Mus musculus: one gene and its partners. The protein of the gene in region 3 binds, or shares a complex with, the protein of the main gene of each other region. Links are inferred from orthologs where the notes say so. Each region holds a gene or a part of one and is shown on either strand. Other genes may lie near its edges. The genes, in order: Pigp, Pigq, Piga, Pigh, Dpm2, Pigc and Pigyl.

Region 1 (4,355 bases), on a different chromosome or scaffold from region 3:
GGTTTTAGAGAAGAGTATTACCCTGCAAAACAATATCAGTTTTACCTCCCCATTGAAGAAATATTAAACTTACTTTTGAGGCCAGTAAGTTAAGCCTAAGGAGTTTAACCAAGATTCGGGAACGAAAGCCCACACAAGATAAAGTACTGCAGGGTAGAGGGTAAGGGGAGAGAGAAGACATGTTAGTGAGGCATGGTCTAGTCTGTAAGGTTCATATACAATAAAGATGCTCCCCAAAGGCCTGCCTCACTCTCTCAAAATTCAGGATCTGTAGCTCCTTATTTGTACCAGTCTTAGAATACTTACCATAATTACCATATTAACACGTTTTTAGTGTCTTAGCTTTTATACTGTACTTTAAAAAGTCTAAGGCTACCACCCAGCACTCCCAGAGACTAAACCACCAACAGAGAGTTTACATGGAGGGATCCATGGGTCCAGATAAGTATCCTGCAGAGATTGGCCTTATCCGACATGATTAGGAGGGAAGGTCCTTGGTCCTGTGGAGGCTTGATGCCCCAGCATAGGGGGATGCTAGAGTGGTGAGGCAGGAGTGGGTGAGTGGGTGGGGGAGCACCCTCATAGAGGCAAAGGGGAGGGGAGAGAGGAGGGATGGGATGGGGGATTTGTGGAGGGGTAACGGGGAAGGGGGATATCATTTGAATTGTAAGCAAATTTAATGATAATTTAAAAAAAGTCTATGGACATATTTCTTAGGAACTTATTGCTAGAATTTGCTCCTGCATTTTACATGCTCATTGTTTCTCCATAGGGAAGAAGTAATTACTTAAGAAGTAGTTGCTTAAAGGGAACTTGTCACCTCTGGTTCTGACTGTCTATGTACAATCTTCTTTCTACCAATACCCAGTCTTGTAGGCTCCTTTTCTGCTGTCTCCGTGTTTTAACAATAGATTCTAAACTTCTCCACATGGACTAACTCGTTTAATCCTCAAAACAGTCCTGAGACGCACATGTATATTTTTATACACAAGAAAGGACTCATTTGTACAAAGGAAGTGGTGGAGACAGGTTTCAGGCTACATCAGCAGTGGTGGGTTTTGTCTTAAGAATGAAGTGTTACAGAGCTTTGTATGCCAAGACTGGAATACAGTAACTCCTGAAGAGATGGTTTGTGCTTTCTGTAAGCTTCTGGTGCCGAACAAAGATGCTTACAGAGATCTTTTCCTTTCTGCATGGTAAGTTGTAGTATTAAAAGATAGCACACAGCAGCACAGCACATGAGGAGGGCTCTTCCTGCTCCTTAATCTCCTCCACCCTATCCCTGTTTTGCTTCCTGGATATGTTTTACTTATCTGTCGTCTCCAAGTATGCAGAAAGCTCAAATGAAGGCAGACAAGGTTTGGTTATTTTACCTTTCCCTGGCCTCTAACACTGTCTGATACATAGTAAGTGCTCAGTAAATTCTTCAATTAGGTTTTGGTTTATCTAACATGCTTGTAGATTCCAATCCTTAAAATCCTCTTTGAATAGTAATTTATAGAAATAAAGGGCAGCTAATGTTTATTAAGCAGCTTCTTTGCATAAATTACCCAAGTTAATACAAGAGTCAAAGGACTTCAGTAGAGTGAAGTCTGCCAGTATACCTGTTCTAATTCCAGTCCTGTTGCTATTTGGCTTTGATCAAGTTACTTAAATTCAGTATTCCCATCTTTAAACTGAGGAAGCAAGGCAGCACCTACTTCACAGGTTCACTTCATGCAAAACACAAAGCTCTCAGGCCAAACAATGATTCCACGAAAGAGCCAGTAACTGTAGCTTCTTCATCCCACTACACTACAGCTAAGCTAGTACTTTTCACTTAAGAATTGGGAAGGATACCTCCACATAGACATTCTGATTTCTATCAAGGACCAGGTTGGATTGTGGGCATTCAATTTTCTACCACTTGATTGCCTCATATCTTCCAAACTATTTGAAGAGGGACTTTGGTTCTGTTTGTTGAGTTGGTCATATTAAGTTTGTTTTTGTTCTTTGTTTTTGTTTTGTTTTGTTTTGTAAGCCTCAGTGGCCTCATCTACAAAATGGAACATTGTGGGCATTAATGCAGATCCCAGACGTTAAGGGTACATTCTTACACCTGACTTCTCTGGCCCATTATCTTCACTCTTCAGCTACAGCATGCTATCCTGGAGCTATAAGCATCTCACTTCCAAACCTTCACAGGCCTTCACTCAGAGACTCTATCCATGGTCCTTCCTGACTTATTCTGATAGAACTGCCAGGGAGTGGCCTGGAGGTAGCTAACCCCAATTTCTAAACCTTCCAAGGCTCTTCCAGGGCACTCATCATGCTCTCTGAACTGTGGGTTTACTATGCTTCTCCACATGACTATGACCTCAAGGATTGGGGCCAGGTTTTATTCACATTAGCATCAAGCCTAGTGCTAAATAAATATTGGAGAGTTCATCTAGAACTGCATACATAAACTGAGCAAACAAACGGTACCCCTTTTAGGACTCGTGAAGAGACACAGGTAGAAAGAATCAACAGTTCATGTGTGTACGTTCTAAGGACAAACACATTATTTCCTGGTTCTCAATACCATTAAGGGCCTTGGCCATCCATCATTCCAGTACTTACTGAAGCCAAATTGTGAGCTTAGGAAAAGAACAAAGCCATAAATCGCTCTTTCTGGCAATGGCGACGGTGAATTTTCCACCATCTTCCCTGTGGCTTTAGACAATCTGTGGAAAAGGAACACAATCGTCGTCAGACATCTCCCCCCGCCCCCCTTCACCAATGGTCTGTTACATAATCTCATCGCTTGCTGCGGACACAGCCACTGCGGATGTTCGCGCGCGCGCGCCACTGCAGCTGAGGGGGCGGCGGGAGCGCGCGCTGCGGGGAAAATGCGCACCTCGGACCCTCTGAGGCGAGGAAGGGGCCCGGGCTGGACAGAGGCCCCGAGTCCTGCCCTCTCATGATGGGCCCTGTCCCAGCCTTCGTGAGGCTCAGAGGAAACAGGAGGCCCGGGACCTTGAGTCCTGCGAGCACCGACGCCCACCCGTCCCCACCCTTCAGCCCCACTCAGTCCAATGCGCAGGCGCGGCTCAGCTACCCCCGCAGCGTGGGCGGAAATTAAAAAAAAAAAAAAACCTGAGGAAAAGCAGAGGCTGGCAGGCGCCCCCGCCGCTTGGCGCAGGCGCACCGCGACCGCAGCGAGGGGGCTAGCACGGTCTCACCACCCACCCCACCGAGCTGAGGGGGCGACGCGGCGACTGCGCATGCGCACCCTAAGCCACGTGACCCGCCCGCCTCAGGAGCCGCGGAGCGTTCGCTCTGCGGGTCTGGTTGACGTGGAGGGCCGGAGGCGTCGGCAGCCCGCGTCTGAGGCTCGCGGGCTGCGGGCCCGGGTGAGTGCAGACCCTGCGCGCGGCGGGGCTCACGGAAGCGTCTGCGCGTCCCGCCGCAGCCGAGATGCCCGGGCATCGGGGCGCTCCACACCTCCCTCCGTGGGTGTGTGGTGAGTGTGGGTGTGCGCGTCGCCGCGCGTCTCGCCGAGCGCCCGCGCGCTGAGGGGGTGTGGCCGCCCTTGCCCTTGTGGGTGTGTTCCCTTTGTCCAGTGACCCTCGGGCGTCCTTAACGGTAGAAGGGGGGTCTTTTGTGTGCGCGTCGCCTGGCGTGCGGGTGACATCCCGGGTCAGGTACCCGTTCCCGCGTTCCGAGCGCTCGGGGACGCGCCTCTGGGTCTGCGGCTGGCCCGCTTTGTTCCTACGCTCTCCCTTCCCTACGACGGCGTGGGCGTCCTTCTCATCCTCTGAGGATGGTGGTTCCCCTCCCACCTTTGTCACTGCCTTCCCTGTGGTGTGCGCGCCCCCTCCTCAGCACCCGCGCGCGCCCGCCCACCCGCCGCTGCGGCAGGCTGCAGTGGCAGGCGCGCGCGTGCGTCCTCGAGGGTCCCCAAAGGTGCGCTGTGTAGGGGCCCTGTGGCGTGCGCGGGGTTGGAATTGCGGTGACGCGCGTGCGCGCTGCCCCTGGTCTGTGTGTGCGCGCCTCTCCCCCCCACCCCCACCCCCGTTTCTGGGAGGACCCGGGAGGGACGCAGAGCTGCCCCCCACCCCACCTCCCCACCTGCAGCCTTTTCCTACGCCTGCGCAGGGCTGCTGCTCCGCAGTGCTGGCGACGTCACTGAGGCCTGGGCTGCCATCTCCTATTGGGGAGGGGACAGACTAGGGGGGTGGGGGGACAAAGGACCAAAATGAAGCCGAGGGTGTGTCGGTACCACTGCACGGTACCTTTCTCAGAAGCTTGTAGTTTCCAGACGTCCTTCAGTTTGCAAATTCTTTCCACCGTTTGTGCTTGTGCCTCTCACCAGGCGATGGCTAACACTGGGT
Region 2 (3,388 bases), on a different chromosome or scaffold from region 3:
ACAGGGCCAGCTGGGCTGAGGTCAGAAGCTCTGCCTGATGTGAGTACAGGAGTGAAAGGATGAGAGCAGGAAGCTAAAGGATGGGTAAGGGTGGCCAGGCAGAGTAGGGAAAAATGCATGCACAGAAGTAGTAATCCGTGTGCTGCTGAGTCCAAAGGGACCAAGAGACAAGTGGAAGGCCTGCCTAGAGTGGAGCACCTAGTATTGCATGTGACAGCCATTTTCAGCAGGCTCTCTCTGGGCACAGGGTCACACAGGGCCCTATGGCACTCCCCAGTTGGCTTATACTGATCCTTTGTGGAGTCCCAGGCTAGAAAGCAACTGAGGGACCCTTCTTCATAACCAGGATGACAGGCCTGGAGGCATCTGAAGACTGCAGATGCTAAGAGTCAGTTGAAGATGTGTGGTATTGGCACACTCCTTCAGTCCCAGCACTAGGGAGGCAGAGGCAGGCTGATCTGTGTGTGAGCCAGCCTGGTCTACAGAGTGAGTTCTGGGATAGCCAAGACTACATAGAGAAACTTGTCAGTCCAGGGCAGAGCTCTGCTTTGTTTGGAATCCACATAGTCAAAGCCCAGATTAGACAACCCCAGCCCTTCCAGACTGTATCCCAGCTCCCGGAATCTGGGTGAAACTATGGCCAGAGGCACTGAGGCTCTAGCTCTGTTCACCTATCTATGACGTCTTCAAGTACCTAGGGCTGCAACTCAGCAGAGCCTCTGCAGAGGCCTTAGGCAGGAAATGATGATAGTCACCTGGGGTAACCCAGTGCCCCACCTAGCCCACCCACCTAGAGCCTGGCCAGACGAGCAGGACACCCAAGCTGGTACTCCAGATTCATGAGATTTTTATTGTCATCACAGGATCAGGATTCATCTTCACCAAAACCCTCCACTGGCTGCTTAAGAGTGGCTGTGACCTATAGCAAGAGGAAGCAGGCACAGACAGACCAATGTCAATAGTCCCAAGTGCCCCTGAAAGACAGGCTGGGCCGGCTGTCCCCTCCTGCCCACAGTAGACAATTCAGGCAGTGAGGTTTCCTGCCCCCTAGGGACTAGCTCACATGGGGTCCCACTAAGTGTTAGGGAACCAACCCTGGCCATTTCACCACCCCAAGATCATTCACACAATGAGCCATGAAGTGCCTGTCCAGAAGGAAGCTATCTGGTCCCATAAGGAGTCTATAAGAGAACATAGAATATTTTGCCAAAGGGCCTATTCATACATGGAGCACTAGCCAGGTTGGCAGGTATCCAATCACCTCAGTTGATATAACTTCAAGCAAAGGGTACCCAAAGGCCTATTAACAGCAACTTCACAAAGCAATCTCCAGAGTAGCAAGTAAGCCCAATGAAGTACAGGGTGAGGGATTAGTTCGAGGGGCTAAGGGATCAGCAGCTGCCTGTTTCCCAATGGAAATGTTCTGCGGAGGCTTATGAAGTACACCAGGTGCCCAGGAGTGCTCCCACCCAATAAAGCAGCCAAGAGCACCTGCCAGCATATCCCACGGGGTCCGGGAACTCCTAGGAATCAGGCTCACTGTAATGACTACAAAAACCATGTGGGTCCCTACATAGGTGATACTAGAGCAGTGGTTCTCAACCCTTTGGGGTGGGTGTCATATGACACTTTCACAGGGTTCACCTATGACTGTCAGAAAACACAGATATTTATATTATATCATGATTCATAGCAGTAGCAAAATTAACAGTAATGAAGTAGTAATGAATATAATTTTATGGTTGGGGTCACCACAACATGAGGAACTGTATTAAAGGGTCAGCTTTGGGACGGTTGAGAACCACTGTGCTAGATAGAGTGCAGGACTGAAGCTGGCAGGGTCCGAGAGCAAAGTAGTAACTCAAGGGTAAGGCCTGCCTACATTCAGCACACAGAGTGTTTGGTTGGCCCTTGTGGGACCTGAGATGACCCCGTGGTCAGTGCTGTCCTGGCAGAGAGGAGGCGTGATGGTTGTGCAGTAGCTATGGGTAGGCTGTGTCCAGCTCCTCAGTCCTGTTTGTCCTCTCTCTGCCTCCAGGGGTAGATGAGCTCTCCGAAGACCAGCTTTCGGCACAGGGTACCCCAGGAGTGCTTGGGATGGCAGCCACAGCGAGGCAGACGGTAGATGTGCATCACATGGTTATAGGACAGGGGGTTTATCTGCAAGGGCAGGGGAGATATCAGTAGGGTAGTGGTCCTGGGTGCTTCAGCTGTGTCTACAGAAGAAGCTCTTGAGGGCTGGCACCCTGGGCCTGACTGGCTCTCTAGAGAATCTTTAGCAAGACAAATGTAGGGCAAACCCAGACAAATGTTTGCCTATGGAATAGCCATGCTATCTATCCTTAGAGAAGCAACCATATAGCACTTTGGTCCCCTAAGGAGGGAATGATGGCAGGGGAGTTCAGTGTCTGCCCTATCCTAGAATCTATTCTGTTTCTAGGCTTCTGGGAGGAGGAAGAAGAGGAGGAGGAGGAGGAGGAGGAGGAGGAGGAGGAGGAGGAGGAGGAAGAGGAGGAGGAGGAGGAGGAGGAGGAGGAGGAGGAAGAGGAGGAAGAGGAGGAAGAGGAGGAAGAGGAGGAAGAGGGGGAGGAGGAGGAAGAAGAGGAGGAGGAGGAGGAAGAAGAAGAGGAAGAGGAGGAGGAGGAAGAGGAGGAGGAGGAAGAGGAGGAGGAGATCATGCCAGATGCTTCTGCATCTAAGAGTCTTGGACTTGGACCAAGGTACAACTCAATACCTGGCAAGTCACCCCAAAACATGTTCTGCTCCCTTCACGGGGACTGGAATCTGTGACTGAAAGAGTCAAGGGTTCAAGACCAACAGGAAATGACTACTTGTCATGAGGCCTTTGTAAAGTCATTTCTGTTTTATCACAATCTTGAGCACTATGGGACTCAGGGCAGCTTCATGATGTCTCTAGCCAAGTATGGGCACTCCACCCACAGGCTGGACTAGATATCAACTATGTAGATCACAATAAGTAGCCATAACTCTGCTGGGGAGGCTCCAGACAGTGAGTTATAGTGCTCAGATGCCAGGGAACCTATCCCTTAGCTCCACTGGGTCCTTCTACCTCTATGTGACCTCTGGCTGCTCTAACACCACAGTATCACACCAGCTGTCCCAGGACACTGGGGAGTCTGATGGAAGGTGGGGATCCCGGGTCCGAGTAGCAGTGAAGCATAGAGAGTTCTTACCTGCATCAGGAGGCGGAGGGGTCTGCCTGCCTCCTTTTCCAGAACTCTGAACTTCACACCAGCTATAGGAAAGCAAAGGATTTAGGAAGGAAGGTGGCAATACCCAATCAGCTTTCACTGGTCCCACAGAACGCTATGGGTCAGCAGAGGCTGCTGTAGATGGCAATTTCGGATGCTTCTAGCCCCTTTGAGCA
Region 3 (4,352 bases):
TAACGGACGCCCTTTCGATTTCCATAAGCATGGGTGACAGTTATGACCTTGTGCCCTCTCTCAATGAGGCACTGAGAGAGCTGGTAAATGTGGCTTTCCACGCCTCCCATGTTTGGGTAGAAAAAGTCTGACACCATGCATATATTATGGGTGCAGGTCCTATCGTCGGAAAGGTTTCCAGAGCTACCCGGGGAAGGCGACACTGAAGGAGGCTGGCCTTGCCCACCTCCTCTTCTATTGGCCATGCTGAGGTGGTCCAAGCATCAGTTCTCAGAGCAAGCCAGTTAAGAAATGTGTCTTCTGTCACCTGAAAGAGAAAAGCAGGACATCAGCTCAAAACTGCATCTCCTTTCATACCTCAAATCCTGTTAGAAATAGTTTTAATGTTAAGGCATATTTTTAAAGTTTTTCACTTAGAAATAAAAGCAAAGCACACTATAAACGTATTCATTTGAGAACATCTACTTGCTTAGCAGGGTGATGCCATAGGACAAAAGAACTGAGATTCTGCAATGTGTTAACTGAGCTGGGAAACTGGTCCACTTTTAAACGTTGTGTCACAGTGCATAATGGTTTGCTACAAAACCAATTCTTTCAAAAAATTAAACATCCATTTCCCTGCTTCTCTTATCACTCTTATCAGCTTATTAAGCTTTCTTACCTATTAAATCACTATCTATCCAACACTACACAGACTAAGAGTTTTCTATATGTGGCCATAGTCTAGTTGACAGACCTATACAAGGTATCAATTATATAGTGTAAATGCAAAGCCAAAAGCTTAAAGAAGTTAGAACACAATGTGCCAGGCTATTAGCGACCATACCTTCCCACATACTTTTAAAGCCAAGTTTTAGCTTATAGCTCATGCTGACCTTGAATTCAATATTCCTGGCCTCAGTCTCCTGAGGGCTGGGATTACAGGTGTGCACCACTGCACCTAGGAATCTCCCTTGCACTGGGACCATGTAAGCCACAGGACATGGTAAAAGGGACATGCAGATCTTTGACCTCAGCCTATGAAAGGTTCGATGGCTTTTACTTCTGGAGTTATCATACAGCTACTAGGTTAGAAGGACATGGGGGAGACAATGAGAGGAAAAGGGCTTACAAGCTACATGGAGAGATAGGGACCCAGCCACCTCTACATTCTTACCTGCGCCCAATTTCTAGCCAGACCTCTAGCTAAATGCAGCCTTCTACAGAAACCCCTGAAAAGACTCATAAAAGTACCACTAGCTAAGTCTAGCAGATTCCAGAGTCATGAAAAATAGCAAAAAGGCTGTTTTATAGCACTGCCTTTTGTTCTGGGTTGTGAAGCAGAAAAGGATACTAAAACAGGCTAGGATGTGAATCTAAGTATACTGGCACATTGTCTATTTTTACGAACAAATTTTTACAGGAACCTGGCTTGCCCATTCACTTATATTCTGAATGGCTACTTCTGTGGCTTTGAAAGAAATCAGATGACCCACAGAGCCTAAAATATTTACCATCTGGTTCTTCACAGAAAATGTGCTGATTAGGGCTGCACAGCTTAGCTAGTGACCCAGTACATCCCATAAGGCTCTGCTGGTATTATCTCTGTGGTTTCCTTTAAAATGTACCTGGAACTAGAGCTTTCTTTTTAAGAACACCCTCTTCAAGTGTTCCCTAGAGCTCATGCTGAAGACAATCTGGCTTCTCCTTCCTTATTCAAGGATAGCTATGCTTAAACTGCTCCCTTCTCTTTTCAGAACCCTTCTTTTAATTATGGAAGCCTTTCCCCTGAGCACCCTTTCAGTGTAGACCCTGAAAGGAAATGGAACAGGACACAGGCTTTACATGTGGGCTCTTTCCTACATCTAAGGCTAAGAAAAGTTCCCTTTAGGAGTTCCCTAAAGTGATGCTCATATGAAGTGCTCATTCAATACTCTGTTCTATAGATGCTTAGACTTTTAATGCCACAGCTTTAGAGATCTGGCAAAAATCCGCCTTAGTTGAGATCTACAAGTCTACAAAGAACTCAATGGAGGATTACTATCCTAACTCTCTGAGTTTCAGCTCTCACCTGCAACTACATGTGTCCATTTTCTCCCACAAATTCACCTACATTTAAAATCGTCTCAGAAATTCAGAGGGAGGAGGCAGGAAAGAAAGGAGCACGTGCTTGGGAGACAGAGAATTGAGGGTTCTAGGGCAGGGTAAGACAGCTACATGGGGGCACCCGGACACATAAACTGGAAAAAAAGAGGAGGGAAGACCAAATTTACAACCAGTAAGTAAACAAATAATGGAAGCAAGAAAATATGAAGTTTGCAAAAGGGGAAAGCAAAGCCTCAAGTGGCTAATGCTGTGCTACTGTCATGTGTCATCTAAACCTGGTCCTTTAGTCCTATCCCGTTTTAAGAAGTGAATGATAAGAACAGAAATAATGAACCAAATGAAAGTATGTGAAAATACTCACTGAATCTTGGCTTCTATAAGTGAATAGAGGCTGTAAAATCTGGTCAATTCTCTCTCCAGCCCTACATGCTAAGCGATCTGTACAACTTCCCTACCCAAGCCATGTAAATGACAAAGTCAAGAAGTCCTCAAAATTCTCAATCGTGCCCAGGGAACTCCCTTATTAGTAGAAGCTTCTGAGGATCCTTAGAGGGGGCTCGGACAGGGCTGAGAAATCAAGAGAAGTATACTTTAATCCAGTCCCAAGGCAGTGCACACGCACTCCCTGAGAGGCAGCTCGGGTGTACTAGAGCCAAAGAGGATCAGCCCGGGTCCACCAGCCAGCACCCCAGGATGAGACAAGATCCGGCCAGACCCAAAGGGACTCGGAAAAACGTCCTAAGATTCCAGTCACTCGCTCTACTAAACTCAGTCTAAGAACCAGTTCCAACCCTCAAGGCACCCTCAATCCCCATTTGATTACGGAGACCCACGGACCCGACTTCCGGGCCTCAGATAGAGTAGGCTTCACCTCCTCCACAGCCTGCCACGGTCCTGTGAGAACGGCACAACCCCATCCAGAGAGACCGAGAACGTTAGAAAGGACAGCCAAGACGCGTACTTACCCTCCAGTCCCATGGCCGCCACTGTCCGGACCTCCCGCGGCAGTTAACAGAATCCCGCCCCGCTGCTCCAAAGCACCAATCAGAAGCGTCCGCGATCCGAGCGCCGCGCCCCCATGATAACCAATCACACAGAGGTTCTGAATTACGTAGAAGAGAGACGCCCAGTCGGGCCCAAGTCTCTAGCGCGGGATTGTAGCGTCAGCGAGCGCAGGAGCACGTCTCCTAAGAGCTGCGGAAGGTCCCGGGCGTAAGTGCCCTGGTTGCTTAGTTACTGCGTCTCTTTTCAGGAAGCCCGGTCTCTCCCCGCCTCCTTCCGGTTAGAGAGACCAGGCGGGGCCGGGCCGGGCCGGGGGCTGGGGGGAGGAGCGGGAATGCGGGGAGGGCGGGGATAAGAGGAAGGGCAGGGTAGGGGGCGGGGAAATCAAGGCCAGGGCGTTTCTAGTCAGTATGGTACCACAGCCAAACCAACCACATCCATTCTTGTTATTCTGGCAGGATTGCTAAATGTGATGCATAAAAGTACAAAAATAAAGAAAAATCACAGCAAGTCAAAACTAAACTCTGAACTTTGAATCTTAGATCTACATATCTGTGCGTGTCCTAAAGACTGAGGACTTTCCTTTTAAAAGTTCAGATTTTGTTTTTGTCTTACAACTCTATGGGGGGGGGGGGGTGTCAGGGAATCTTAGGTATAACCTGAAACGCTCCCGCTCAAGCTGCTGCAGTCCTCAGCCAAAACTGTCTTGCGGTCTGGAGCCAGATTGTGCTTGGCCAAGAAGACAGAATCTCTCGATTGTTGTAATAGTCACCTGCTCTTTATAGTTGGTACCTGCAGATTCCCCAGCATGGCCATTCCTGCATTTTCTAGAATAAATTGTTTTCTAAGCAACAACACCATCACCATGACTGGCATCCACTTGAAGCTTGTGGTAAAGTTAAGGGTATTTTCTAAAACAAAACAAAAAGTTGTGCCAGGTGTGGTGGCGCACGCCTTTAATCCCAGCACTTGGGAGGCAGAGGCAGGCAGATTTTTGAGTTCGAGGCCAGCCTGGTCTACAGAATGAGTTCCAGGGCAGCCAGGGCTACACAGAGAACCTGTCTGGAAAAACAAAACAAAACAAAAAAGTTGTAGCAGATTTGAACTGTAGTATTCTGCCTGAACGACCACAAAGCATGCCTTCAAAGACTCTCAACCAGTGTGTCAGGACCCCTTTGAGGTATCCTGTATAGGAGGTATTTACATGACGATTCATAATAGTAGCAAAATTACAGTTATGAAGTAGCAAAGAAAATAATTTTATG
Region 4 (4,473 bases), on a different chromosome or scaffold from region 3:
GGACCTGACACCCTCTTCTCACCTCCTTGAGCACAAGGCATGTATGTCATGTACAGACATATACGCAACACACCCATACACATAAATTTTAAATAAAAGGACAAAAGAATATGGGACAGGGATCCACAAAGCCTAAAATATTAATTTGGCCTTTTAAAGAAAGAGCTTGATGACTTCCGTTCAGATGATTATTTCTGGCTGGTAAGCAGGAGTGAGAACAGGGCCTCTGATGACCCAGAAACAGCTACTTTCTGCTAATTAACTTCAGGTGCAGGGTGGTGTCTTGCAAGCAGTGCAAACTAAATAAGCACCGTGGAAGAAAGCCAAGGTAAAACTCAGCCCTCTACAGGTTGCAAGAATGATTAAAAAACAAAAGTCTAGAATACTGTGTTACTGACTTTAAAGTGTCAGAGGGAGGAGAAAGAGAAGAGGAAGGGGGGAAGGAAGGAAAAAATGATGGAGAGGGAAAAAGAAGAGAGGGAGACAGAGAGATAGATCAATGCACACAGCTGTTCCATAAAGACTTCCAAGGCCTCAGGACCCAGGTGGTGCAGAGAAGTAGTGCATGCTGACAGGTGCACTCTGCTGAAAGGGTACTGCACTGCAGATTGGAGTGATGTTAACTAAACCGATCAAAAGCAGGGGATGACAGGCTGAAGAACAATGAATGCTTAGGGAATGTTACCCACTCAGCCTCTGTTAAGATAATCTGCCTCAAAGTCCATTTTCCTGGCCAAAATTCTAAGGATGCACACCGCTCATCTGAGTCAGGGTTGAGCCACACATCTGAAGGAGTCCTTTGAGAGTTCTTTCCATGAATGAGTTTGAATAGGAGCAGAGATCTGAACTCTTGCACACAGAGGCCTCGGGAAGTCTTGAAGTAATGGAAGAGAGCACAATTACTTGTGCATTTGGGGGACATTTGGGTGTCCATGCCAGAGAGATGAGTGCAGTAGGGAACTGACAGAACAGCTCTGAGCTGGGTGTGGTTCACTCACCTGTCAGCCCAGGCCTTCACAGGGGCTGAACCAGGACGAAGCAGAGTGTGTGGACAGCCTAAACTACATAGCAAGACCCTGTATCTCTGAACAAACCAACCAGTAACAATTGCAACTGCCTGAGATCTGCGAGGCCAAAGTACAATGGAAAGGGATTTCAAAGTCAGGCAGCTCCAGTTTGGAAGCCCAGCTTTGTCACTTTATCAATGTCAAGGTTATTAAAGTATTACTCTTTATGAACCCCCCCGGGGGGTTGAAATAAGAAATTCAGCAGATAACTGCACGGGTATCAGGAACATAGGCTGGCATTAACATTCAACTGGGCATGGTGATGTATCCCTTTAACAACAGCACTTGTGAGGCAGTGACAGGTGAATCTCTGAGTTACAGGCCAGCCTGGTTTATACAGTGAGTTCAAGAACAGCCAAGGCTACATGGTAAGACCCCAACACTCCCCATCCCCCCAAAAAAGAATAAAAATCCAATTATATTAAAAATTTTGGGGAAGGACTAGGTCAGTTTAATAACTTCAACTGACCTGTGAAGACACTTTTAAATATAAATTGGTAAAGATTAGGAGTCTTTTAAAAAATACTATTTGTGTTGTGTTTGAGGCAGGGTTTCACTGTGTAGCCTTGGTTTGTTCTGGAGCTGGTAATGTAGACTGATGTAGCCAGGCTGGCCTTGAATTCAGAGATGTTCCTTCCTCTGTTTCCCTAGTGCTGGGATTAAAGGTGTGCACCACCACACCAGCCCCTACTATTTATATTTATTTATTGTGCAGAGGTCAGAGGACAATTTTTTTGAATCCATTCTTCCCTCCCATCATGTGGGTTCTGGGGATTCGGCTTAGGTGGTCAGGTTTGGCATTAGGTGGTCAGGTTTGGCATTAGGTGGTCAGGTTTGGCAGTCGCTGCAGTCATCTGATGAGCCATTCATTCCCCAGACCCTCAGTGAGGGGACTTAACTTCATCTATGAAAATCTGTGCAAATTATGATGCTCTGCCACACACTTTGATAGCATAAATGTGATTGAACCAGGTATGATGACACACACCTTTGATCCTAACCCTAGGGAGGCAGAGGCAGGCTCCACATAGAGCCTTCCAGTCCAGACAAAGTAAGAATAATAATAATAGCAAAAGAATAGAAAAAAGCTAAGGGATGTTTTAATACAAACAATATGAAAATTGCAGAAATAAACAGTTCTGGTGTACTGGCTCTATTAAGATCACTCCTGGAATAATATATTCATTTTAGGGCTATACAGGGAGTTAAAACAGAACAGAACATCCTGAACAAAGGCCAATCGGATGACTCTTTTTGCTTGGGAACTGTCACAAAATAATAGCAGTTGACCTTCGCAATATTTTGAACCATTAATTTCAACTTAGAGATGTTAAAAATGAGGCTCGGGGGGAAAAAAGATTAGAAAGTCTGAAAACTGAGCATAGAAAACCCTCGTGTCTTAGACCTGGCAACACTTTAGAAAATGCACTTAAACTGGGGAAGGGTTGGGAGAGGGGATGGTAGTTGACCTGGCCTTGAGAAACAGATATTAGGTGGAGATTCTGTACTGCACAGTTGTGGAGGCAAAAACTTTTCTGTAATTCTGTCGCACGCCTGCTATCCGTTGGCTTTGGTACCCAGTAAGTGATGCGGGAGGATGCACTGAGTTCTCTGAGGAGGTTATGTTCCATGAATGAGCAGGGCAAGTAGGTCCACTGTGGTAGAACGTCCAGAAGCACAAACTTCTCGGGGAGGGAGGGCAGTCCTGCCGTGGAACGGCGACCCTGATCCAGGGAGTCCCCACCCTCCCGGACCCACGGGTCAGCCCCGAGACCTCTCCAAGCTGCCTGCGCCGGCCGAGCGCCCGCCTTTACCTCGCACAGGGTGAAGAGCCCGTAGGCCGCCAGCCACACCGCGCAGGTGACCGCGGTGAGCGAGCACAGCGACAGCCGAGCCGAGCTGAGGCCGAACTCGCGGCAGTACGGTGAGTAGTAGCGGCACCGCAGGGCTAGGCGGCCGCCGCAGATATCGGAGAAGCTCTTCTCGTCCTCCATGGCCGCACACACCTGAATGTCGCGCCGCTCTAGCCCACCCGGAGGCTCGAAGTCTCGTTGGCTCCCGACCATCCCGGAAGCGGCTGAGCCCTGCCTGTCCGCGCAGCCGTAGTCGCTCACTGAGAGCAGGGCTGGGACTTGCAGCAAGTTCTCCCAGTTTATCCTTAGCCCAAACTCCCCAGAACCGCGGCACCAGTTTTGGGCAGATTAAGATCTCTGTTCATTTGACTGACTCATTTATATTGTTACGCCAGAAAGACTCCCCCAAAATGGTCTGCAGGTGTAACCATTCATTCATTCATTCATTCATTTCCCTGCGAAGGGATTTTAGGTACTGAAGATTTCTGTCTCTACATAGCTTCTTTCCTAGTAGGAAAAAAAAAAAAAAATAGACGTAACTTAAGTAGTGTTATTGACAAAAATGTTCAGACTAGTAGAAGGTCTGGGCAGCTTTAAGTAAAGGTCTTAAAGGTCTTCGCCATTAAACCTACAAGGGCCACACTGTTCTGTGGGGAGTTGGGGTGGAGGTGGGGGTAGTCTCCAGAAAGAAGGACCAGGAAAAAACAAAGTTGGAGGCTGGAATGGGTTTCAGTCACAGGAATCAAAAAACTAGCAAGGCTAGGATGCATGGGAAGAGAAGGTAGGCTTTGAGTTGGGCAGATGGCTCAGCTGCTAAAGAGTATATTAATCCAAAAAAAAAAAAAAAACGAGAGGAGAAAGACCGCCACCCAAATCATCATGACCAAATTAATTAAAGCAAGCTTTAAAAATTCACATACACGGGCTGCCTCCTCCTGAGATGGGGTTCAGCTTTGGATGTGAAGGCAGGCTTTTATAGCTCAGGGATAGGAAGGTTTCCAAATGAGGGGTTTGTCTGTCAAAATATAGTTATAGGAGCAGCACACAAGCATAGCAAGTAAGTCCCTCTGGAACAGAGACACAAGGTTGCAAAGATGGGCCTAACAAGGTAGCTATATAACCCTTTGAAGCAAAGGTCAGGTTGCAAGATGACTATAAACAACTTTTTGAAACAAAGACGTGATTGCATTCTTGGAACAAGCAGTACAGAACCATTTGTAGTTAAGGTCACAGGTGGGGCATAGCTCAATCCTTGAAAAACAGGTTTACTCATAAACAAGAATGAACCTAGATTGTCTTCACTGTAAGATGACTTTCAAGCCTAATATGGAAGCAGGCTGGTTCTTCAAGTACTTATCACTAGGGAAAGGTAACTGGGGGAGCCACTAATAGATGCTGTTTGCCAACCATATATTTGCATGGATGGAGCACTACTGTGGCAGTGCACAGACAATCATACTTCTGATGATGTAATTATTTCCACTGTTTTGAATTTATTCTTAGAACTTGAGTCACTATAAATATGAATAATGGAGAAACAAATGTAATTGAAT
Region 5 (4,596 bases), on a different chromosome or scaffold from region 3:
TGTAGTTTAATGTCAGACTGGGCTACACTAGGCCTTAGCAGATGCGCCAGGCTTCTGATTCTCCGCTGTGACATTTCCCGAGTAAGAATCATATCTATCCCAGTTCCAGTTTTACCCTGTGTCTGACATAGGGACATCGCAAATGTACAACCTGAGGTGCCCTCATTGCACAACTCAGTAGCATCTGAGCCTCCTCTAGCCAGTTTCCCCAGAGCAAGGATGGCAGAGAGACAAACACCAACGCAATTAACATTTATTTGTAAGTTTTCCCAAACAGGCCAATTGTGGTCTAGTGTGGCTGCCTGGATGTAACCCTGTGGTTCTGGGGTTTGTCAGTCTTTCCCCAGGGCTTCCTGGGTCCAGAAGTCCTCATGGAGCCTGGGAAGTGTCAGACTCGGAAGAGCTGCCTTGTGACGGGACAGGACTTGTACAGAGAGGCGGGAAGGCCTGCTCAATCCATCAGCACAGTGGGAGGAGCACAGAGGTGAGAGGAGAGAACTCGGTGGAAGGGACAGGGAGCTTTGACTGTGAGATGGACAGGACCAACCAGCAATGTTCAGCCTCTGAGCCTAAGGGAAGTGAGAGGCTTCCCAACCCACCTTTCTCTTGGCTTCTAAAAGGATGACCAAGAGAGAGAGGGCTCCAGGTTGTCAAACTGAGAAGAAAACAGCCCCATGTCCCAAAGAGGGCTGCAGTGCAGCCAGCTTGACCATCTTGTAAGCTGTGACCCTTGGTCCCTTTTCTGGAGGAGATATGGAGAAGGCCCCTACAGCCTCATCCCTGCTGGACCTTCACTGAGCCTTCTTGGTTATCTTCTGGCTCTTCAGCATCACATAGGTGATGAACAATCCTGTAATACACAGAATAGGAGGGACTGGGAGGATTGGAGTGGAAGCTAGGTGGCCAGGCATGCAAGGTCAGGCTCCCAACCAACCCCCCTAGGGGTGCATCTTTGCAGTCATTCACTAGGTCACACAGCCACTGAGGGTCAGTTAACTATCACCAAAATGGTGCAAGGCTAACCACCTGTGCATCATCCGGCCATGTGGTTCCTCAGTCAACCCAAGCACTCTTTTAGGCTCCTGGGCTAGAGCTTAGAATAGCGTAACAGCAAAGACACAGTTCCCAACCCACAGAGCCGTAAGAGATGCCAGGGTGACTTGAGGCAGGAACATTGAAGAGATGAAGATGAAGCTGAGACAGGAAAGAAAGGGGAGCCATGTCCTCATTGCCCCAGGAACCTGAAAACTGGGAACACCACTAGAGGAGCTTCTGCCCGTGGCCTTTAAGGAATAGGAAAGCCCCGGGGAGCATTGGTGACAAGGAGAGTCTAAGCAGATGTACAGCAGGTGCCAGCATGTGGAAGCACGCTGCCTTCCAGACACCCTGCCCCAGATCGGGAGACTTACCCACAAATAGGAGCAGCAGGAGGCCTGCGGCCAACGGGAGGAGGACGGCGTAGGCGCGGGGCAGGAAGTATTTGTGGATGACATGCTGGCTGTCAATGAATGGCTGGCACCAAGGGCAAGAGCTCTGGTGAGTACTGCTCACCTTACTCAGCCCCAAAGGGAAGCCGTCCCACCTCCCCCTGGCAGCACTGGATACTGAGGGCCCACCTTGATAGCATCCCCAAGCGTGGATATGTATCATAACAAGAGACCCACCATATTGTCTCTGTATTGTTGAATACTGCCTGGGCCTTGTGAGTGCTGGAAACCATCCTTTTTGATTTCTGAGGCCCTGGCTGACCTCACCAAGCTGCCCTCCCCCCTTCTTCTGCCTTCTGAGAACTCTAGGTCTTTTAAAGAGGTCTTTATTTTTTGATCATGCATTTGTGCCTGTGAGTCCAGGTGTACTTTCATCCAAGCCCTGGATCTCCAATCTAACTCCTAACACAACTTAAGCAGCAATGGCGTTCCGTTCCAGGGACTTTTGCTGGGTCTCCTGGAGCTGGAGTTACAGATGGTTGTAGCTGGCCATGTGGGTGCTGGAACTTGAACCCCAGTCCTCTGGAGAATCAGCCAGTTCTCTTCATCACCGAAGGTCAGCCCACCTAACTTTCCTCTCTGAAGGATACCAAGTACTGCAAGATGCCCCTTTCCAAGCACAGTGTACTTTAAAACAATAACTAACAAAATTTCCCACATTAAAGAGAGAGGCAGAGAGAGAGAGAGAGAGAGAGAGAGAGAGAGAGAGACTTGAGATGTTAATAAACTCCACCGGCGACTGCTACACCCAGGAACCTGCTGGCTAACCAGGAGGACAAACACAAAATAAAGCCTCACTGTGCGGCAGTTCAGAGGCTGAGAAACAGCCTTCTCCCCGAGTCTTAGCCTCCTCATCTATAAAATGTAGACACCATCTGCAAGCACCATAGTGTAGATTTCGTGAGATTAGAGCTAGCTAAACATCCAGACGCTGGCACACAGACGCTGATTAAGTCGCGTTAGGAAACTGGCTTAGAGATCCAGAGCAAAATGAAGGTGAGCGGGGTGGGGGTGGGGCACACATACCAAGAGAATCACCCAAGTGGTGTAGTAGGTGAAGATGATCAAGCTAACGGCGACAAGGCCAAATCCTACTGCTTGGTCTGTCCCGGTGGCCTGGAGAAAAATAAAGGCTCAGCAGGCGAGATGGCTCGTGTACAAGCACTAACGGAGGGTCGGAGCAGCCGGTTTACACTCCAAACCTCTCATTCATTTAGAACCACGGAGGGCTTACTAGAAGTGGCTCTCGGGTTTAGAAAGCCACGTCAGGCCTCGTGTCACCTGTCTGCAAGCGGTGGAGAGAGCGATCTGGGTTTGGAGAGCCCAACTCCATCTCCCAAGGAGACTCTTACTCAGAGCCCCGACCCCTGGTACCCTCAAATCACACATGTACTCCACCCCAGGCTCACCATCTCTCCAGCGTTCCGCCGGAGCAACAAAATACATCCGGTTCCTGGTTTAGGCCTTTCCGGCTTGTAAATCACGTGACACGCGGAGACTCGTCTGAGCTGACGTGCGGGCACTTTTCCCCGCCCTCCAGTGCATGTCGGGAAATGTAGTTTCTGCAGGGAACTGTAGGGCCGGGAGCTCAGACTTTCAGGTTTTTGTGGCTACATCCCTGTCAGACCCTTCCCAAACAATAATCATTTAAACATTATCCTACAGTCCCAAGCCAGAGTGAGATGTACCCCAGAGTTGGAAGTCCCGGAAAGGGATAGATCATAATGAGTTGGTTGTTGAAGCAGACATCAGAATTCAAAGGCTCTACATTCTGGCCTTGAAACTGTTAATGGAAGAGTCTGTATAGAATGACCACCACTGGCCTGGCCTATGAGAATTTCCACTGGTTGGCTTCCTAGGGAACTTTCTAGGCTTCCCTTCATTGTCCACTGCCAGAGGTTTCAGAATGGCCCTCTTAGAACCAAGGGGCGCTGGGCCAAATTATCTTTCATGCTTTTCTTCTGTTTCTCACCCAGAACACTACTCTCATGGCATATGGGGCTAGCTGCTGTAGATCCATTCTTCTCCAAATGCTACACCATGCAGGTTATCCATTTCTGCAACCAGAGGCAACAGCTCCCTCTTTGTGCCCTGACAGGTATTTTTAACCAGTTTCTTCGATGATTAGGACCAAAAGTGGGGCTTTAAGATCCCCGAATTGATGCTGGGCATGGTGGTGCATTTCTGTAGTCCCAACACTCTGGAGGCATGAGGAGTAGTAGGTCTCCTTAAACCTCATGGCTAAAGGAAACCTTATAAATACCAAATAAAAACGTTTTATTCTTTCCCCAAAACCAGAGTGAGACACCGTCTCAAACAAGAAGAGGTTCAGGAGTAACAGGTGTTCTCCGACCTTTGTCAAGTGCCCATTCATATTCATACAAACATGTGTGGACATATATGTAATATGTATGTGTGTGTTTGTGGTGAGCATTATGACTGGGGTCAGACTGGAGAACACTAACCTACTTTCCCCAGCATGTCATCTTACACATACATGGCTAACTCCTGTTAGCAGCCCCCAAGTCAACACGGTGATGAGAATGAAAAGAAACACCAACAAAAAGCAGTAACAAAAACATCGGCATTTAATTCCACCCCCAAACCAAACATTGACACTAGGCTGATTTCCCCATATGACATAATTTTCTATTATAAGCTGAGACAGATATGAACAGCCCACGGAATGGGGTGCAGTGGTAACCTGGTTAGAAAGGAATAACACAAAAGCAAATTCTCCCCACAGAAGAAGATGGGCCTGCTCATCCTGCCAGACCACGTGGTCAGCTGTAGGGTAACCAGAAAAGAACCCTAAAAATATTGCAGATCTTTTATATCTCTCTAATAGAAACATTAAACTGTCTTACAGGTCCCAAACTGGCATTGCATAGACCAATTCCTTTTCAAAAATACCTCTAATATATCCTCTATCTTTGTATATAGAATTTGAAGTCCAGGTGCTCTGGGCACCCGTGGGGATCACTGAGCGCAGGAGGAAAGGCTCTTAGCCTCTGGCTGCCACCAGTGTTCATTTGGTTGTGGTCATGTTTTCAGCTAAGTTATCCTGGCCCAGTGCCTGGAAGCAGAGGATGTGGCAGCTCTCGTCTAC
Region 6 (4,490 bases), on a different chromosome or scaffold from region 3:
TCTTGCCTGCAAATGTTTTTGTAATCTGAATTAAATTTGAGACAGTTCACAAAGTATATTCATATTACGAATCAGAATCACAGTTACTGCAATATTTACTTTCTCTGAGCCACAGGTATGACTCCCAAACTGAGTAGAAACAACACTTTTGGAGCGGTAACAGCTGCCCTCACTGGGCACACTTGCTTGGTCCATAGTTTTCCATTCTCACTAGTATTACCTATCTGTTTCTCAAAGGCTTTCACCTGCTATCCTCCACGAGTAAATTAAATGTCACCTCTGGTTTCCTAACTGCCTGAGATGAACTCACCCTCCAGCCTCTTTCATATCGCTAACGTTTTGTTTCTATGGCATGTAGCTCTCCTTGAGTGACCACTTCTGTGGTATTGGACAACAAACTGGATGCCACCATCAGGGATTCTCAAATTTGGGCTCTAGATATATAAAGGTGTCCCTTAGTATACACAGAAAAGGCTAAACAACTGATTACACTTTTACACACACACACACACCTTCATACTACTTTTGTCTTATGCTCTCATAAAAATGAGACAGGGCCAGTGTGATGGCTCAGCTGGTAAAGGCCTGTTGCCAGGGCCTGAATTTGATGCGTGGGACATACATACTGGAAATAGACAAACCCCCTCTCTTATACACACATAAATAAGGGTTTCCTTGTTTTGTTTTTTTTAAAATACTAGACAATGCAATGGATATTACTTTTTTAATAAGCAGAACCCACATTACATCATTTGTTACAGGGAATAAAGGACAATAATTCATAACAGCACCAGAAAGCTTTTTCAGTCACAAAATAACTGAAGGACAAGCACCCTCCCCTAAGCCCTTGGTTAAATGCTTTCTTCTGATCTCAGCTCTACCATCTAGATCAGTCGGCTGCTTCAAGAGTGGACCCCTGCCTTTAAATGTTGCACCGGTTAGGCTCGAAGTCTTTCCGCTGGTCTTAATAATGAAATGAAGGTCCCTAGATTAGCTAAGGAACCTAGACAAGTCTTCCTTGATTTCAGCTTCATCCCAAGGCCCGTGAATATTTTCCTTAAAAAGCTGCAGATGAATGAGGTAGTAAGGGCAGAGACAGGAGATGGAAAACAGCAGGAGAGCAAAGAGTATGGCTCCCACAGCACTAATGGACAGAAGACCTCCAAAGGCAGAAAAGGCAAAAAGCAAAGTGACCCCTACATAGCTTCGCGGGGTGTACGCCTTCAGTTTCTTCTGTAACATGGGCCACAGTGCAAAGATCTGGATAGCAAACGTCACCATAATGAAGGCGTGGAGTGACCGGGGGAGGCGTGAGGCCAGGCAAACAGAAGCAAAGATGGCCATGTTCAAGGACAGGGTGCTGGATACAATAGCAGCATTGGCACCGTAATCAAAGAAGATGAGATGGCCTAACAGCATAAAGACTGCCATGGCGTAGATAGTGTCTGTACTGACAGACTCCGTCAGGGTCTTTAGCACAGGTGAAAAACCGTAAGTGAAAGTGATAAAGACCAGAGTACTCTTCAGGTCGGCCCACCGGGTCCGCCCACTCTTCTTCCGTCCATCACCTCCATCGATAAGATCGAATAAAACATACCCAACCAAGGAAGATGCCAGTCCGGTCCCAAAAAGCCACTGGGGAGCCAGAAGACCCTCATCCATGTACCACCAGATCACTACAAAAACACAGACACTGCACAGCTGCTGTATCACCACACTGGACTCAAATACCACAGCCCAGTACTGGTACTTCCGGGCATAGATGTTTTTCCGGAGTTCTTCCAGGAACCTCTGGTCAACATAGTTATCAGGGAACGGCTGCCGCTCATATAAAACCTTCTGCCACTTGACTTCTGGGGTGTCTGTTACACGTTGAGCACACATTATCTCATTCTTTCCTCAAATCCAGGTTGGCTCAATCTCCCTCAGGGACGTCCATGGGGTTCTGGTTCTTGATAAATCTGTAGATTAAGAACTCTCTGGAAATGCCATGCTGATACCCTACAGAACTTTCCTTGTTTACAAAGCCTTCAGTACAAGCTGAGCCTGCATTAGATGAGTTTGTCCTGAGGGTCAGGACAACACAGCTAAATTCCTAGAAGAGAGAACTGTAAATATATGGAAGCTGGCATCAGATACAATAAAAAACAACTTGGCTTACTGAAAGCCTAGATAAATTGTGTCTGGTGACATAATGCGGCATTAAGCCTTCACATTTTAAAGTGTAGTCTTAATAATTGATATCTGCATCTAACTCAGAATGTTAAATGTCTTATGCACCTTCTTTAACTGTCACAGCCTTACAAGTTAATACCAGTTATGAGTTTACCTAATAAGACATCTGAGTTTCAAAACAGTAGAGTATTTAGGTCCCAGGCTAACAGCGTGGAGCCAGACCTCCTACAAAAGTCTAGTGTCAAAGTCTCTGCTTCTGGTCGTCCTTCTCTAAGCCAGTCTTAACTTGGGCATTCATACACTCTAAGGTTTATACTATTTTTGCATGATTATATTTGCAACTTACGCAAATTTATAGGGACAGAATCCATCCATAGCCGTTACTAGGTCCCCAAAGGTATCTGAATAAGTTATCGGTCGAATGACAATAACCTGCACCGTACAAAAGGGCATGATCTCTCTATAGTTTTAGCCCAAACCAAGAACTCAAATCTTTTTTGTTCATTAGCTGAACTTACTATCCTTTAAAGTGCTATATCATCCTAATTAACTGAAACAGCAAAACTCTAGCGCAGGATCAAGAAAACAATCATCCCAGTCGTAAACACAGAGGTCATTCAGCAAATTCGAGAAAGAACTTCCTGCCGGACCGTCTGTATTTTTCGTGGAGGCTAGGATAGACCTTTGCTTTAAAAGCCGTACACCCTGGAGTCGGCCCTCACGCACTGGGACCTCGGGATTTGAAAGGTCCCCGTCACCGGGCGGCGAAGGGTCTTGGGCTACCACTCACCCAACCGGCCTGCCCCGCCCGCCGCTGCCGACCCCCGCCCCAGCCTTGGATCAGCCGGAAGCGCTCACAGCGAAGGACGCCGGAACCCACCTGCACCAAGCTCTTTAGGGGGGTGCACGACCGAGAAGAGCGGCCGCCTAGCTACTTCTACATCCGGGACGCCGGCTTGGAAGGGGACTACTGTGGAGGAGCACTTCCGGATCCGCAGCACTCGGCGGCCAAAGCGTCCCGCCCCGAGACTCCACACCGCGAGGTCACTGCTGCCCTCTACTGATTGCTCCTCTCCTGGCAATCTGCTCCTAGTGGAATGCTAAGCCTGGGAAGCAAATCCCTCAGTGGGAATTACTTCACAGGGTGTGGAAGGCAGGAGAAGGCAGGAAGAGTCGCGGGGCTGGTGGAAGACTGGTAACTGCAAGGTTACCATGACATGTGTTGACAGGCTCTCAGCCAAGGGACTTTCCATGCATCCAAACCCTCCTCCTATAGGTGCCAAACCAGGCTTCTGGTATTCACCAAAAAAAAAAAAAAAAAAAAAAAAAAAAAAAAAAAAGGGGGGGGGAGTCGGGGAGATCCCAGATCTCACATAGCATCCTGTGCGTTGACTTGCACAGAGACGATGCGATCATTAGTTTGTTTTTGACCAAAGTCAGGCAGCTGGTTAGTAATTGCAAGTAGATCAGAAATATCCAAATGTGGATGGCTCCAAAGCTGGATCCTTTCCTAGACTTTGCCACCTAAAAGAGATGAGGGTGGAGAGCCTTTGGGACGAGAGATTGCTGATTTTCAACTGGGGTCTTGGAAGTGTCACAGGATTTATAAATAGATGGAAGCTCGAAGAATTTAAAATATAGAGACTGTTAAATAGTGTGGACACAGAGGCAGAAAGCATGAACCCATTTATTCATATTCACACTATCTGGGCTTTGAATTCTTTGTCTGTAAAAGAAAGAAGGCGCTTATTTGTTCTTGGCCACCTTATGGAATGGTTGGAGGACTCTCGTGTTAAAATAGTTTGCAATGTATTGATTGCTGTGTGGTTGCTGTTAGCTTACTTTGCTTATTGTAATACCAGCACTGGTCAAGTATTTTAACTTTTTTTTAATATTTTGTTTTTAATTATGTCTACATATGTGCTCCTGACTCCAGGTGTCTGTGGAGGTCAGAAGAAGGTGCTAGGTCCCCTGCCGCTATAGTTACAGGCAGTCATGAGCTGGCTTGTGGGTGCTGTCAACTAAACCTGGCTTTTCTCCAAGAGGAAGGAGTGCTGTTAGCCACCAAGGCATCTCTCTGGCCCTGTGACTCCCTTTAAGATTTAGTCTTCGGAAGTGTGATAAACTCTGCAACCTGATCTCTTTCCATTTCTCTCTCTGTAGGCTTTTGTTCCAAAGTTTGACAAGATTCCTTGGCTGAGTGAGGCCAGCCTGGTAAACAAACCATTGATCCTGAGCATCCCCAGAAGGTAACTTCCCAGCTTCTGAGGACAGAGCCTTCGAGGCAGAGCTCAGTGGTTGTACTCTTAAGGTGG
Region 7 (3,556 bases), on a different chromosome or scaffold from region 3:
TACAGGCAGTCGTGAGTCACCAACCTGGGGACTAAGAGCAGCTGGTCCAAGGAACTGCTGAGCCATCTGCCCAGCCGCAGACCCAGGCTTGGTATGTCCAGCTTCCAGATATTGGTTTTTATATATGGCACTACTCCACTCAGCTCCTCTGGGAGGAGTCAAACCTAACACTTCACCATTGACCTTGAAGCGGAAACAAAATCCCAAATTATTTTTGACAGTCTCACTATGCTGGCCTGGACCCTCAAGAGATCCACCTCTGCCTCCCAAGTGTGTGTGTCACCACTGCCTGGCTTCCAAACAACTAACTTTTAAATGAATGGGCTAAAAAAAAGACAGTCCTTAGGGCCTGGGTGCTTGGTTGGCAGAGTGCTGGCTTGGCGTTCCTGAAACCCTGGGTTCCTCCAGCACCACATGAATGGATGTGGAGCTCTTGCCTATAAGTTTAGCACTCAGGAGGTAGAGACAGGAAGGTAAGGAGGACAAGGTCTGCCTCTCACAGCTTGAGGTTCCCCAGAACTAAATGAGAAGGCAATAGGCGGGCAGAGAGATGGCTCAGGGGCTAAGAACATGAACTCGCATCCTTTATGGATGATCTGAACACAGCTCCGGTAGCCTACAACTGCCTGTACCCCCAACTCCAGGGACCCATCACTTGCATGGCCTCCTTGGGCACCCACACTCACATGCGCATACCCACACACAGACACACAATTAAGAACAAATCTTAGAAGAAACAGTCTTTGGATGAAGGCTGGTCGTGTTCCTCTCCCATAAGACATTTTATTGAAAAGTATTTTTCAGCTACAAAAGAATCTGCAACAGCCAGGAACCTCCGGCCATGCCCCACTCCGCAGGCAGCCCGAGCAGGAGGGGCCTCGGCTCCCCTAGTTATGTCTGAAGAGCTTCAGGCCCATCCATGTCCACAGATGGAAGAACACGTACACAGGCACGGTGACCGGCAAGAGCAAGCTGTAGAAGCACAGGCTGCTGGCGCTGGTGCAGCCCTCTGGGAAGCCTTCCTCCACGGAGGCGGAGTAGAGCAGGCCTGCCAGCGAGACCAGTGGGATGAGGACGGTCATGGTGGGCAGGGACCGGATCATCTTCCTCCCTTCTTAAAAGGTTAACTGTCTCAAGAAAACTCAGTTGTTTGAAAAGTTCTGTTCTCGTGCGGGTGCGCTCTTGTCTTATCTTCCCCTTGTCCCGACTCCTCATTCACCCAGGCATGCTTCCCAAGGGCACGCAGAAAGTCCAGGGGTCCCAGGCCGAAGGTGCCGGCTCCTCAGCCTCCGCGTCACACGCAGCGGTTACCAGCGACTGCAGACACCACCTGTGTCCCTCGCAGCGCAGGCGAGAGGTCTTTTAACTGTATGAGAAAAATGCAAGATGACAAGATGAAGGGCAGGCGACGGGAAGGGAGAGGAAAGGATGGGGAAGCAGCCAGTACCAGCACTGAGTAGGTTAGAGACAGGATTGCTGGAACCGGCAGGCTGGCCTCGAACGTTGTGATCCTCCTGCATCAGCCTCCCCAAGCCACCACATCCGGCTAGAAAGAAGCCTTTAAAAAAAGGAGTGTCCTCCAAAACTGCCTATAGTGACCCCCATCAGAGGTATCAGTATTGAGGAGGCAGTGACAAAAGAACGGCTGCCAGACCATGCTTAAAACACTACAAGTGTCATGAATTACTTTGGGAAGTAAGCAATTTGAAAAACAGAATGAAGGACAGGTGGACTGATAATGTTTTTGTGAACTGGGGAAGCGGAATGCGACCTACAAATCCGGGTTCGCTTCAGACATCTGAGTGAGGCTTTCTATACGAGGACTGGCTGGGAACCAGCACCAGAACCTGGGGCCAGGTCACGAGCCACCCGCGGTCAATGCACAGACCGAAGACAGCGCCATCCCTTGGGCGCAGTCGCCTCGGGGACCAGAAGGGGCAACGAGCCCGCTGCAGTCTCTGACCGACGGAGGGACAGAGCCGAGCCGAGCCGAGCCGAGCCGAAGAAAACCGAGCCGAGCCGAGCGGGGCAAGACAGGACAGGGGGAACCCGGCCGAACCGAAAACGAACCAGCCAGACAAACGGAGTCGGCGGCGTCCATGGCGCAGACGCCAAGCTGGCGCGAGTCCCGCCCCAGCCGGTTTCAACAGCTCCTCCGCTCGTATTTCGAGACCCTCAACTCACCGTTTGCAGGCCTGTAGGAGTCCGGTCCCTTCGGCGCCTGGCGGTGACAGTCACCGCCCCACGAAGGCGGGACAGCCCGGCCAGCCGCCCAATCAAATCCCTGCAGGGGCGGGGTGAGGAACCCAGATCCCGCGATGGAGCCGGTCCGCGCGTGCTCATTGGACAGTTCACCTTGCCTTCGCTCCCAGGCTCAGGCTCCGCCCCCGTGGTCTTGATTGACGGGTGAGGCCAGAAAGACTCTGAGAGCACCGGATAGCTAAGGATCCCATCGTCTCTGGCTGGGCGTCCCCTATGCTAGTCCTGCTGGAAGTAGGAGAGGAACGTATTTGCCACAGTTTATTCATGGCGCTCCAGAGCAGACAGTGGGGTCTTTCTGCACTGAAAAGCCTTCCCCACTTTTTTTTTTTGGTTTTTCGAGACAGCCCTGGCTGTCCTGGAACTCACTCTGTAGAACAGGCTGGCCTCGAACTCAGAAATCCACTTGCCTCTGCCTCTGCTGGGGTTAAAGGCGTGCACCACCATGCCCGGCTGCCTTCCCCACTTCTAATTGATAAACTTGAATCCTGAATCGCACCTGGCCTCAGCCACTATCATCTATCCTCTTAAGCAGCGGAAAGATGACTGATACATTATTTTACGTATGAATCGGTAAATGGCAAAATAATAGTTTGTGCTGATGAGATGGCTCAGCGAGTATAGGCGTTTCCTGCCAGGTCAGACTACCTGAGATCGACCTTCCGGTACCCACATGGTGGAGAACTATTTTCCTCTGACCTCCACACATGTATTGTGGCACACCTGAGTGTACTCCCGCAAAAAGTGCAAAATGAAGTTTTAAGAGAAAATGTAGCCAAGCACACTCCTAATCCTAGCACTCCTTAGGCAAAAGCTAGCGGATTTCTGTGAGTTCGAGACCAGCCTGGTCTACATAGCAAGTTCCAGGTCATCCGGACTACATAGTAAGACGATGAGTGTGTGTGCCTTGGGGTTGGGGGGAGGGACGGTGTTCGTAAATGCTGTCCACGGGGCCGGCCACTGCCTTGCCTAGTGAGGCAGTGTTATCTCTGATCCCAGCGTAAAGAAAAATGAGGCTGAGCTAGGATTCTGCACAGTACTGCACAGGAAGCTCCATCCCTTAATCTTCCCGCAAGCTAAAAGATCAGAAAGTTTTTCTTCTCAGAGGTAAGTAGTGGTATAGAGTCCGTGCAGCTTCTGTTGCAACCACAAGGTGGCAGGAGAGAGCTGAGGACAAACCATCCTATGGTTTACACAGAGCAAGTAACAAACATTTTTTAATTTAAAAATTTAAAATCGGAACAAAAAATAGCCAGCAAGATAGTTCAAGAGGTAAAGGCACTCACTACACACGCCT

Evidence for each region.
Region 1: Piga (region 3) and Pigp share a complex: the UniProt entries of both Homo sapiens proteins name them as parts of the glycosylphosphatidylinositol-N-acetylglucosaminyltransferase (GPI-GnT) complex. The link is inferred for Mus musculus from reciprocal best matches to the Homo sapiens genes PIGA and PIGP.
Region 2: Piga (region 3) and Pigq share a complex: the UniProt entries of both Homo sapiens proteins name them as parts of the glycosylphosphatidylinositol-N-acetylglucosaminyltransferase (GPI-GnT) complex. The link is inferred for Mus musculus from reciprocal best matches to the Homo sapiens genes PIGA and PIGQ.
Region 4: Piga (region 3) and Pigh share a complex: the UniProt entries of both Homo sapiens proteins name them as parts of the glycosylphosphatidylinositol-N-acetylglucosaminyltransferase (GPI-GnT) complex. The link is inferred for Mus musculus from reciprocal best matches to the Homo sapiens genes PIGA and PIGH.
Region 5: Piga (region 3) and Dpm2 share a complex: the UniProt entries of both Homo sapiens proteins name them as parts of the glycosylphosphatidylinositol-N-acetylglucosaminyltransferase (GPI-GnT) complex. The link is inferred for Mus musculus from reciprocal best matches to the Homo sapiens genes PIGA and DPM2.
Region 6: Piga (region 3) and Pigc share a complex: the UniProt entries of both Homo sapiens proteins name them as parts of the glycosylphosphatidylinositol-N-acetylglucosaminyltransferase (GPI-GnT) complex. The link is inferred for Mus musculus from reciprocal best matches to the Homo sapiens genes PIGA and PIGC.
Region 7: Piga (region 3) and Pigyl share a complex: the UniProt entries of both Homo sapiens proteins name them as parts of the glycosylphosphatidylinositol-N-acetylglucosaminyltransferase (GPI-GnT) complex. The link is inferred for Mus musculus from reciprocal best matches to the Homo sapiens genes PIGA and PIGY.

The regions. Positions count from the first base shown.
Region 1 is NC_000082.6:94,367,488-94,371,842, forward strand, and holds the start of Pigp (phosphatidylinositol N-acetylglucosaminyltransferase subunit P), read right to left. Parts: upstream 3,064-4,355; 5' UTR 2,944-3,063; coding exon 2,879-2,943; intron 2,844-2,878; exon of another isoform or gene 2,783-2,843; coding exon of another isoform or gene 2,706-2,782; coding exon 2,602-2,705; intron 147-2,601; coding exon 74-146; intron 1-73. Other genes in the region: E3 ubiquitin-protein ligase TTC3, read left to right, coding at 3,439-3,484. UniProt on the Homo sapiens protein: Part of the glycosylphosphatidylinositol-N-acetylglucosaminyltransferase (GPI-GnT) complex that catalyzes the transfer of N-acetylglucosamine from UDP-N-acetylglucosamine to phosphatidylinositol and participates in the first step of GPI biosynthesis.
Region 2 is NC_000083.6:25,925,597-25,928,984, forward strand, and holds the end of Pigq (phosphatidylinositol N-acetylglucosaminyltransferase subunit Q), read right to left. Parts: intron 3,257-3,388; coding exon 3,195-3,256; intron 2,161-3,194; coding exon 2,008-2,160; 3' UTR 824-2,007; downstream 1-823. UniProt on the Homo sapiens protein: Part of the glycosylphosphatidylinositol-N-acetylglucosaminyltransferase (GPI-GnT) complex that catalyzes the transfer of N-acetylglucosamine from UDP-N-acetylglucosamine to phosphatidylinositol and participates in the first step of GPI biosynthesis.
Region 3 is NC_000086.7:164,418,539-164,422,890, reverse strand, and holds the start of Piga (N-acetylglucosaminyl-phosphatidylinositol biosynthetic protein), read right to left. Parts: upstream 3,112-4,352; 5' UTR 3,051-3,111; intron 3,024-3,050; exon of another isoform or gene 2,957-3,023; intron 308-2,956; 5' UTR 246-307; coding exon 1-245. UniProt on the Homo sapiens protein: Catalytic subunit of the glycosylphosphatidylinositol-N-acetylglucosaminyltransferase (GPI-GnT) complex that catalyzes the transfer of N-acetylglucosamine from UDP-N-acetylglucosamine to phosphatidylinositol and participates in the first step of GPI biosynthesis.
Region 4 is NC_000078.6:79,086,559-79,091,031, forward strand, and holds the start of Pigh (phosphatidylinositol N-acetylglucosaminyltransferase subunit H), read right to left. Parts: upstream 3,062-4,473; coding exon 2,882-3,061; exon of another isoform or gene 2,147-2,881; intron 1-2,146. UniProt on the Homo sapiens protein: Part of the glycosylphosphatidylinositol-N-acetylglucosaminyltransferase (GPI-GnT) complex that catalyzes the transfer of N-acetylglucosamine from UDP-N-acetylglucosamine to phosphatidylinositol and participates in the first step of GPI biosynthesis.
Region 5 is NC_000068.7:32,569,213-32,573,808, reverse strand, and holds Dpm2 (dolichol phosphate-mannose biosynthesis regulatory protein), read right to left. Parts: upstream 2,952-4,596; 5' UTR 2,900-2,951; coding exon 2,897-2,899; intron 2,604-2,896; coding exon 2,514-2,603; intron 1,513-2,513; coding exon 1,410-1,512; intron 851-1,409; coding exon 792-850; 3' UTR 238-791; downstream 1-237. UniProt on the Homo sapiens protein: Regulates the biosynthesis of dolichol phosphate-mannose. Regulatory subunit of the dolichol-phosphate mannose (DPM) synthase complex; essential for the ER localization and stable expression of DPM1.
Region 6 is NC_000067.6:161,967,845-161,972,334, reverse strand, and holds the start of Pigc (phosphatidylinositol N-acetylglucosaminyltransferase subunit C), read right to left. Parts: upstream 3,148-4,490; 5' UTR 3,056-3,147; exon of another isoform or gene 2,966-3,055; intron 2,109-2,965; exon of another isoform or gene 2,096-2,108; 5' UTR 1,885-2,095; coding exon 991-1,884; 3' UTR 1-990. Other genes in the region: 4930558K02Rik (uncharacterized protein C1orf105 homolog), read left to right, coding at 4,339-4,424. UniProt on the Homo sapiens protein: Part of the glycosylphosphatidylinositol-N-acetylglucosaminyltransferase (GPI-GnT) complex that catalyzes the transfer of N-acetylglucosamine from UDP-N-acetylglucosamine to phosphatidylinositol and participates in the first step of GPI biosynthesis.
Region 7 is NC_000075.6:22,155,542-22,159,097, reverse strand, and holds Pigyl (phosphatidylinositol N-acetylglucosaminyltransferase subunit Y precursor), read right to left. Parts: upstream 2,253-3,556; 5' UTR 2,185-2,252; intron 1,367-2,184; 5' UTR 1,104-1,366; coding exon 888-1,103; 3' UTR 743-887; downstream 1-742. UniProt on the Homo sapiens protein: Part of the glycosylphosphatidylinositol-N-acetylglucosaminyltransferase (GPI-GnT) complex that catalyzes the transfer of N-acetylglucosamine from UDP-N-acetylglucosamine to phosphatidylinositol and participates in the first step of GPI biosynthesis.